Bombyx mori: one gene and its partner. The protein of the gene in region 2 binds, or shares a complex with, the protein of the main gene of each other region. Links are inferred from orthologs where the notes say so. Each region holds a gene or a part of one and is shown on either strand. Other genes may lie near its edges.

What was found. Proteins that work in one complex are often made in the same cells at the same time.
Region 1: serine-threonine kinase receptor-associated protein (region 2) and gem-associated protein 2 share a complex: the UniProt entries of both Homo sapiens proteins name them as parts of the SMN-Sm complex. The link is inferred for Bombyx mori from reciprocal best matches to the Homo sapiens genes STRAP and GEMIN2.

Annotation. Positions count from the first base shown.
Region 1 is NC_085111.1:13,069,526-13,073,753, forward strand, and holds the start of gem-associated protein 2, read left to right. Parts: upstream 1-1,427; 5' UTR 1,428-1,676; coding exon 1,677-1,904; intron 1,905-2,962; coding exon 2,963-3,275; intron 3,276-3,888; coding exon 3,889-3,988; intron 3,989-4,228. UniProt on the Homo sapiens protein: The SMN complex catalyzes the assembly of small nuclear ribonucleoproteins (snRNPs), the building blocks of the spliceosome, and thereby plays an important role in the splicing of cellular pre-mRNAs.
Region 2 is NC_085123.1:9,320,059-9,324,370, forward strand, and holds the start of serine-threonine kinase receptor-associated protein, read left to right. Parts: upstream 1-1,510; 5' UTR 1,511-1,735; coding exon 1,736-1,850; intron 1,851-2,020; exon of another isoform or gene 2,021-2,287; intron 2,288-3,028; exon of another isoform or gene 3,029-3,060; coding exon 3,061-3,195; intron 3,196-3,768; coding exon 3,769-3,927; intron 3,928-4,312. Other genes in the region: GPI inositol-deacylase, read left to right, coding at 1-235; signal peptidase complex subunit 1, read right to left, coding at 1,012-1,293. UniProt on the Homo sapiens protein: The SMN complex catalyzes the assembly of small nuclear ribonucleoproteins (snRNPs), the building blocks of the spliceosome, and thereby plays an important role in the splicing of cellular pre-mRNAs.

The sequences.
Region 1 (4,228 bases), on a different chromosome or scaffold from region 2:
ATTCCCATTCTGTTGACTTAATATATTCAAGTTCCTTTCTCAAAGTCTGTATTCTTTTTTGATGCATTTCTTTCTTTTCACAGTGTTTAGATTGCTCTATGCTGTGACCAAGGTGGACATGGTTTAATGATTGATCAAAATTTGGTATTCTGTTTTGTGTTGTTACCTATAACACGAGTTTTTTATTTATTATTAAGGAAAAAAAATATTTCTAGGATTGGAAGCATCAATAAGATATTTTATAATTTTTAACGACATCACTACAATAATTTCATTATCAATAAATAGCATACATACTTGCGGAGTTTCTGCTTCAGATGAGGAATAGGTAGATTGTGAAAGATTGCTAGATGTAGACATTACTAGTACAAAATACTACAAATCCTTTCCTCATAAATTCGCGTATTATGTGTATTAATACCTATCTATGTTAATCGCTACATAAAAGGAACCAACCGTATATTTAAACCTCTTTACAACACAAACGAATTTTAACTTTTGTACTAATTTGTACTTACAATACTTTTTTTATTATTATTTTAAGAGATTTTATGACCTGGTAACTAAGACCTTTAAGCCTTGACTTATTTAATTTTCATTGTTATTTATTTATATTTTTATGAAAAATGAAATGTGCAATAACTGTGGTTTATTAACTGTTTAGTATCTGTGAAAGTGCATAAATGTAGGAAAATGAAACAAAGCCGCTGAACGTAACTTCTGATAGGGTGGATGGACTAGCGGCTATAGCAATTAATTAAAACGTAAATTAAATACTTGAAAACATTGTGTTGACTTGTATAAGAGAAAATTTAATTCAGAATGACACCGCACATCAAAAGTAAAAGGAACATAATACAAATTCAAATATAATGCATCATAGACAATTATACGTGGACAGCATCACAACCTTCCAACAACTTCTCGTTATCTTCCAAAAAGTCCACTGAAAAAGTCTCAGTAAATGACCACCATTTTACTGAGTTTATACTTCATCCCATATCATCTCATCTCATTTCATTTTTTTCGTTTTCATTACATTTCATGCTATGTTTCATAATAATCAACTTCATTTCATTTCATAATATCATTTTCATATAAAAAGGTACGTATCATTAAAATTAAAAATAAGACTTGACCTAAAGGTCTTAGTTACGAGGTCATAAATTCGCCTAAAAAAAATTCTTTCTCTGATATGGTAGCGTTAAAGTTTAAACGTTTAACGCAACCTTGTTGAAAATCGCATTAGAAGTTTCACTTCAAAAATGCTATCTTTTCGAATCTGCACACTACTGCCACAATCTACATTTACGTGATAAAAAAGCCCGATTTTATAAATCAACCATGGAGTTAATAAGTACCTACAACACTAACTCTATGAAATCAACATTAGTAACTATTTATTAATAATCTGTGATCAACATTCCAACAGCTGTCAGTGCTGTCACCGTACACCAATCACTAATAAAACCGCGTTTCCGATCACAAGAATGAAATTATAGAAAAATATTGTCCAAATAATAAGTGTTAATAACTATGAATATTGCTGTACGGGCTATATTTCTTTTGACTGCCTAAATAGACAAAACAAAAGTATTATTTATTAGTCATTACATATATATGTACTATGAATTGTTAATGTTATAATATCTCAAAGCTGTAATTTAGTGAAAAAGATGTCATTGAAAAAGTACTTGAAAACAATGAAGGATGATGAAGATAATTTGGATATAGTATCACCGTGCTTCAAAATAAGTCCTGATGTGCAATTAAAAGAGGTTCCAACGAACGGTGAAGAATATTTACTTAAAGTCATAAAGGAGCGTAAAAACATTGCAGCAGTTACGAAATGCAACAAAGATTATTCAAAGTTTGCCGAAAATCAGTCTCAGTATGTGCATGAGGTCAGTGAAGTTCTGAAAAATGATTTTAAAAATGATTGATTAACAAAATTTACATTCATGTAACCATGATGCCAATGATTTTGAAACGAATTTCTGGTGTAATATCTGCATCTGATGTAACTATGGAAAAGGTTGGGTACATTTCCGCATTGTTCTAAATATCTGCACCAGTAGCTAAAGTTGTAAAACATTTTTAAAATCATTATCTGCATCAATCTAATTTTAATGTTTAGGTCACCTTTTTTCACCAAACCGAGTTTGATTTCAACTATCAAACCTGGTTCTATATGATATAATTAAAATAATAAATTTGTATTAATTAATTTTCAATACACAGAGTTAAGCTCACTTAACTGTGCAAAATGCAGCTGAGATGTCATTTTATACATAATTTTCATTATTGGCACTGATAAGAATAATTAAAGATTTTTAATGTGTACTAAATCAAGAATAATTAATTAATTGATGTCCCTTTTTTATGTTTATTAATATGACTGTACTAATCTTATTCATTCAGGCATAGTAGGTAGTACTAAAAATATATTTGTAAATTATAATTCAAAACATTCACAATAGTAATTTGTAAAATATAAGTAAAACAATAAATACACTGATATTTTATCTTAATAGATTCATACCTTGGGACATATTCATAAATGATTCATTCCTGATGCCCGAATACAGTCTTAAGATGTCTACACAAAATGTCTAAAATGTCTGCAAGATGTCTACACAAAAAATGGGCTACACAAAATTATTCAATGATCATGACCATAAAAGTCATTTTGTAAAAATAAAAAAGTTAATAATCAGCTCACAAAATTGTATATCCTGTTATTAATTTATGATCTGCACTATTCGTAGAAAGCAAACTGCAATTACAGCAGAATTAATTTATAGTTATTAGTCACTGATGGTTTTTGATGGGTGGTCTCAAGATCATTCGTTAAATCTGTGAAATAATACATAACAGATTTTAAGAATATAGTTTTAATAATTTGGTGGCTTAGTAATGTTATTGTAATTTGAATAGATGTCTAATGGAAATGTCTTTTTAGTTCCCGAGGCTATCAGTACCTGAGAAGTTAAAACCTACAATTGAGTGGCAAAACATGCAAGTAGCAGATTTCTCAGAAACTCGAATGTACATATCTCGTTTGCTGTCAAAAAGGAAAATATGGAAAAACAATATTAATATTATAGAAATAAAACCAACCTGTGTAATTGAATGGAAACAGTTCTTCAGTACCCATATTCCAACATTATCATGCGTGCTCGGATTACAACATGCATTACTAGACCAAGGTTTAGAAGTACTTACTGATATTATTAGTAGAACGAAACCTGGTAATACTATAGAACATAAAACAGGTAAGTCATTACTTTACACTGTACATGTTCAGAAGATGATTAAGAGCCGTTAATTAAATTTAAATGGATTTGAACTTCTTCATGTCATTCTCAATAACAAAGTTTGTGGATTTTATATTGAAGTTTTCTCTATCATCTTCCTATTGATTAAGTACAGCTCTTTTGTAAAGAGAAAACTTAACCTGTTTTGTTACTCTCAGCAAACCAAATTATTCATACAGCATACATTCTGCCACTATTCTTTATGTGTTCCATAATTTTGATTCGATCATAGCATTTTGTCTTTACTTTAACTTTATACAAAATTATACAAGATTTTGTAACAACAAGTGAGCTTTATATGAAGAGAATAAAATCAAGATAATAGTAAATTTGTAATTGGGGTAAGGATGATTAGTGAACGCTTTGTAAGGAAATCACATATCAGCTCTCCCAAAAATCCACTTTTAAAGCAGAGATTTCGTAACCACCCAACCTACCTGTCAAATTAATATATATCAATTTTTAAACTTATTTATAGAATACATTGTGTTTTACAAACCATTTTTTTTTAGTACAAATTGTTCAGATGCATACAGAAGAAGTTTTTATTGGGTGGCCTTTTCATTTTCAGGTCAATGGGTATATGCGTTTTTGGCCTGTACCCAACTACCTCTATTGTCTGATACAACAAGTATTCTAAGAAATTTAGCTCGAAAGTGTGCTGAAATAAGGTAAATATAATAACACCTATTGTTATTTACAGCAGGTGACCACAGCTGAATCATAAACAAATGTAACAAAGATTGTGAAAAGTGGCAGTGTGAAATTTTTCAATTATTTAACAAGGGCTTTTACTACCTATACAGGGTAGCTGGTAAGATCCGGGTGAGAGAAGCCTACAATCATGCTGTGGTGTGCAATTGGATAGGCCTATGTCCAGCAGTAAACTGCTATAGGTTGATGATGATGAC
Region 2 (4,312 bases):
ATTTGTCGTTATTACATTACAACAAGTATGTGATAAGGAAGATGTTCAAAGTTCTACCATTGAAGGTACAAATGAATCCAAGAATGATAATGATGAAAAACCAAAAGAAAACCAAAAAGAAGAAGCTGATAATATTCAAACGAATGATTGTGATCCATGCAATGAGAACAGAATATTTGATGCTTTTAAGAATCTTCAAGATAAATTTGATTTAACTACAATGGATAATTTGTAACAACTTGTGTACTTGTTTTGTTTTTGAAATATTTATATAAATAGTATTTGTAGGATTGTAATAATGATAAACATTGAGCAACAATGAATGCCATAATTTGTCACAAATAGGAAACAAGTAAAATTTTTGTTGAAATGTTTGGTTTGCATAAGGAATATATGTGATTTAAACAGAAAATGTTTTCTTTCATTAAGGTACCAATTTGGATATTCATACCTATCATTGTTCATAACATTGACATCAACACTGAAATACTAATAAGGAAATACAAACCGAACCTGTAAAAATGATAATTTTTGTAATTATTGGTGTTAAGGCATCTTGTTAGCCCACATAGGTAGTTCCTACAACCTTATTTCTGCTGTAAAGCAGTAATGTGTTTTAATTTGAAGGATCAGGCAGCCATTGCTCTATAGCACTAACATTTAGACCTCATGTTTCAAGTATGACATAATTTATGTTGTTCATGCCTATGGGCCTCATAACCACTTCACACTAGTTGGACTGTGAGCACATCTATCTAAGTAACTAATAATAGTTTCATTTTAAAACATTTGTCCTTAATAGTAAGAGTTTATTTTTGTAGTACGTGCATATATTTCTTAGCTAGTTTAAAAGTTCAAAAGATTAATTTGGTACATATTTTATAATAGTGCGTTTAAGTGTGTGTAAACTAAGATTGACAGTTATGTAAATAAAACAAAATTAAAACTTATTAACTATTGGATATATTTGAGAAGTAAAAGTTGTACAGACAAATTTTGAGATAATGAATTTCACTTCTTTCCTTTCTTGGCTGCTGGTTTGTCATCACCGTTCTTAGGAACCTGCCAGTTCAGAGGATTGCGTCGGTACATTGGCCATGGAGGAACAGTAAGAATGGCAGCAAGCAGAAATCCAGCACCAAGAATATACACTGACTGCGAGAATTGCTGAACTATATAACCCCATACAAAACCAACTATACTGAACAATGTAATTATTGCCCTGTATAATTTCTCTGCTTTTGCTTGTCCGACGTAATCTATGTGGGTTGGTATAGATGTAAAGAAATCCATCTTGCTAAATTAGATTAATATCACTTGCCACAACAACAAATTATTTTGAAGAAACTTATCAGAAGTAACCAATTAAACGGTCTGACATTAAACGTCAAGCAATAGACACGTCAATACTAAATTGACGTCGTCATAAAAGATATTACCAGTATTATAAAACTGATTTCTAAACGTTTCTTTTTATTAGCCAATATTTTTTTTGTTCTTCCTAAATTTTATTTTATCAAAAAACTTTTAGCCATATCTTAAAATTTAGATGGCTTGCAACAAAGCTATGTTGATAGTAGTTTTAAGATATTTTCTAGTAATACTGCTTTTTCCTTTCCGTCAGTCGATTGTCAACATTCAGTACGATCAGACTCATTAGGTTAATTTTAGTTTTACAAAAAGATAATTTAGTTTTATTTTTCCAAAGTACAACAATCAAAATTAATTTAACAAAATGACAACGCTTAAACAAGTTCCTCTTACATGCGGTGGCCACACGAGACCAGTCGTGCATTTGGATTTTAGTGACGTTACAAAAGACGGATATTATTTGATTTCTGCCTGCAAAGGTAAGTTTTTATTGTTTATTCGTTTGGGGTGCTTTTGCCTTAGTCGTGACATATATAGGAAACATAATTTTTTCTAATATTAGTGGGGTGTGTTTCACGTTGACAAATGTCGGGCGTCGTGCTACGTTTATGAGACCTTCACTTTAGTTGTTTTGTTCTGAACAGTAGGTTTGGCCGGCGTGCATTCTATGCATGTTGCGACCTTCTCTTTCCGGACATGCAGGAAGCACCTTGAATATCCACTTGTGTGTTTCCTCGGCGCCAGTTTGCCTTGGGCCGCGTCGTGCTTTTTATTCATGTACTAGAGGCTAGTGCATGACATACAAGTTTTTCAACTTTGAATGCATACAAATTTGGAGCGAGCTCGGAAGTTTATTCCTGTATTAAATTAAATGTTGACATTTCACTTATTCTGGGTCACCTTGTACCAGCTCAAGGTTTGTTGTACTTGACATTATTAATAATGATATGGGAGTTCTGACAACATAATACTCTAACACAATGACTTATCTGTAAATTTTATTATAATGAAAATCAGAAATAAATGATAATTATTATAATTTTCACTTCCTTGTATTGCTAATGTGAAATTAATTATATTCAAGTCTTGGCTTACATGTTTTGTTTGTATGATATCCTTGGTTTTAGCTGTTACCTGTTTTGGTTCTGATTTAATAGTTCCATTAATCTCTGATGAATTAATCTTTTTTTTATATGTAAATAAGTATAAAAATCAGGAAATAGCATACTTGAATGTTGTTATTATGTAGTGTAGTATTGTTTATTTATTTCCTTGTATAATTAATAGTTGTTATCATGTTTTGTGTTCTTTTATACAAAATCAGAATTTTAAAATAATATCAACAGAAACTTATTATGAGTTATAATCTGGACACTGAAAATAATTTAGTAGTTGTAAAAAAGCAATAACCAGATATTTTTAAACATAACAAAACTAAAATGTAATAGCAACTAGTTAATTTACAAAGAGCTTTAAACAATGTATGAGCTATGATTGTCTTTTACTATCATTATATACTATCTCATGTATCAACATAGTTTATGTATGAATGCTTAATTTGTCTAATTATTTACATAAATGAGCTATCTTCACTGTTAACAAGGTTGTTTATTCCTCATATTTTATTAATATGATTTCTGGTTTTGCTTTTATTCAGATTATAATGTAATGGCATGTTTTGTTATTAAGATGGCAAGCCTATGTTACGACAAGGTGAAACTGGTGACTGGATTGGAACATTTGAAGGTCACAAGGGTGCTGTTTGGGGTGTGGCACTTACACAAAATGCAAACTTGGCTGCTAGTGGGGCAGCCGATTTTACAGGTAAATATTAAACAAGTAAGTTAAACTGCTTTTATTGAAATGTAAATCTGAAACTGTACACTTCAAATAAGCTACTAATTAGATTAAGGATATCACACTGTGAGTGATTATTTTGTACTTTAATCTCATAGGTTTGAATTTTTTGTTTTATTAATATGATCTAAAGTTATAATATTTTTGTCATTTACACAAAATACCATGGTCTACTTTAGCCACTGACTTACTAAAATAGTAATGAAAGAAGCCAAAAATATTAAATGTTTAAGCTCTGAGTATTTTCTTAGATATGTACTTAAAGTGCTTTGTGAAGCTAAAATGCTGAACAAAATACATATTTTTTGAAATAAATATAATAATATAAAAAAGTTTTTTCATATTAAATTTCCATTCCACTCTGTGATATGTGACCGATTTCACGATTTGAAATAACTAAAAATATGCCTAACCTATTTCGAGTGTGTAGATTTTGAGTTAATGATAATTTTTGGTCACAAAACCCAAAATAGTAAATTTAGTAAAAAGTGATTAAAATAACTATTACAAATTACTTAAAATCAAATTTTATATTTACAGCAAAATTGTGGGATGCTCGATATGGTGATATGGTCCACACTTTTGAACATGAACACATTGTGAAAAGTGTCAATTTCAATGCCGATGACACATTGTTGGTGACTGCTAGCAATGAGAAACTTATACGAGTTTTTGACCTCAACAAGCTTGAAGCTGGACGTATGTAATTGTTGCTTAATTTGGTTTATGTTACTGTTTAGACTAGTTTTTGAATGAATTAAGACCACTATAGTAACTATGAACTAAAATTTCTTTATATAATCTTATTATTGCTTTATTGTTACGTAGTTACTGGAGACCATAGATATGACAAACTGAATACAGCAAAAAAGGCTGGTATATATTATCAAAGCCTACAATATGTGGTCTGAATTTTAATATTAATCTCATAGAAAAATTATGTTGATTTCTTTTGTTAACTGATGACAGTCAAAATATTTTTGACAATTGTGGATCACTCCTTTTATTAGCAATAGTGGTCCGATCAAAATCCTGCTTACTTGCCTAGCATAAATGTTCTTGGTGGGCGGGTGGTTAATTAATT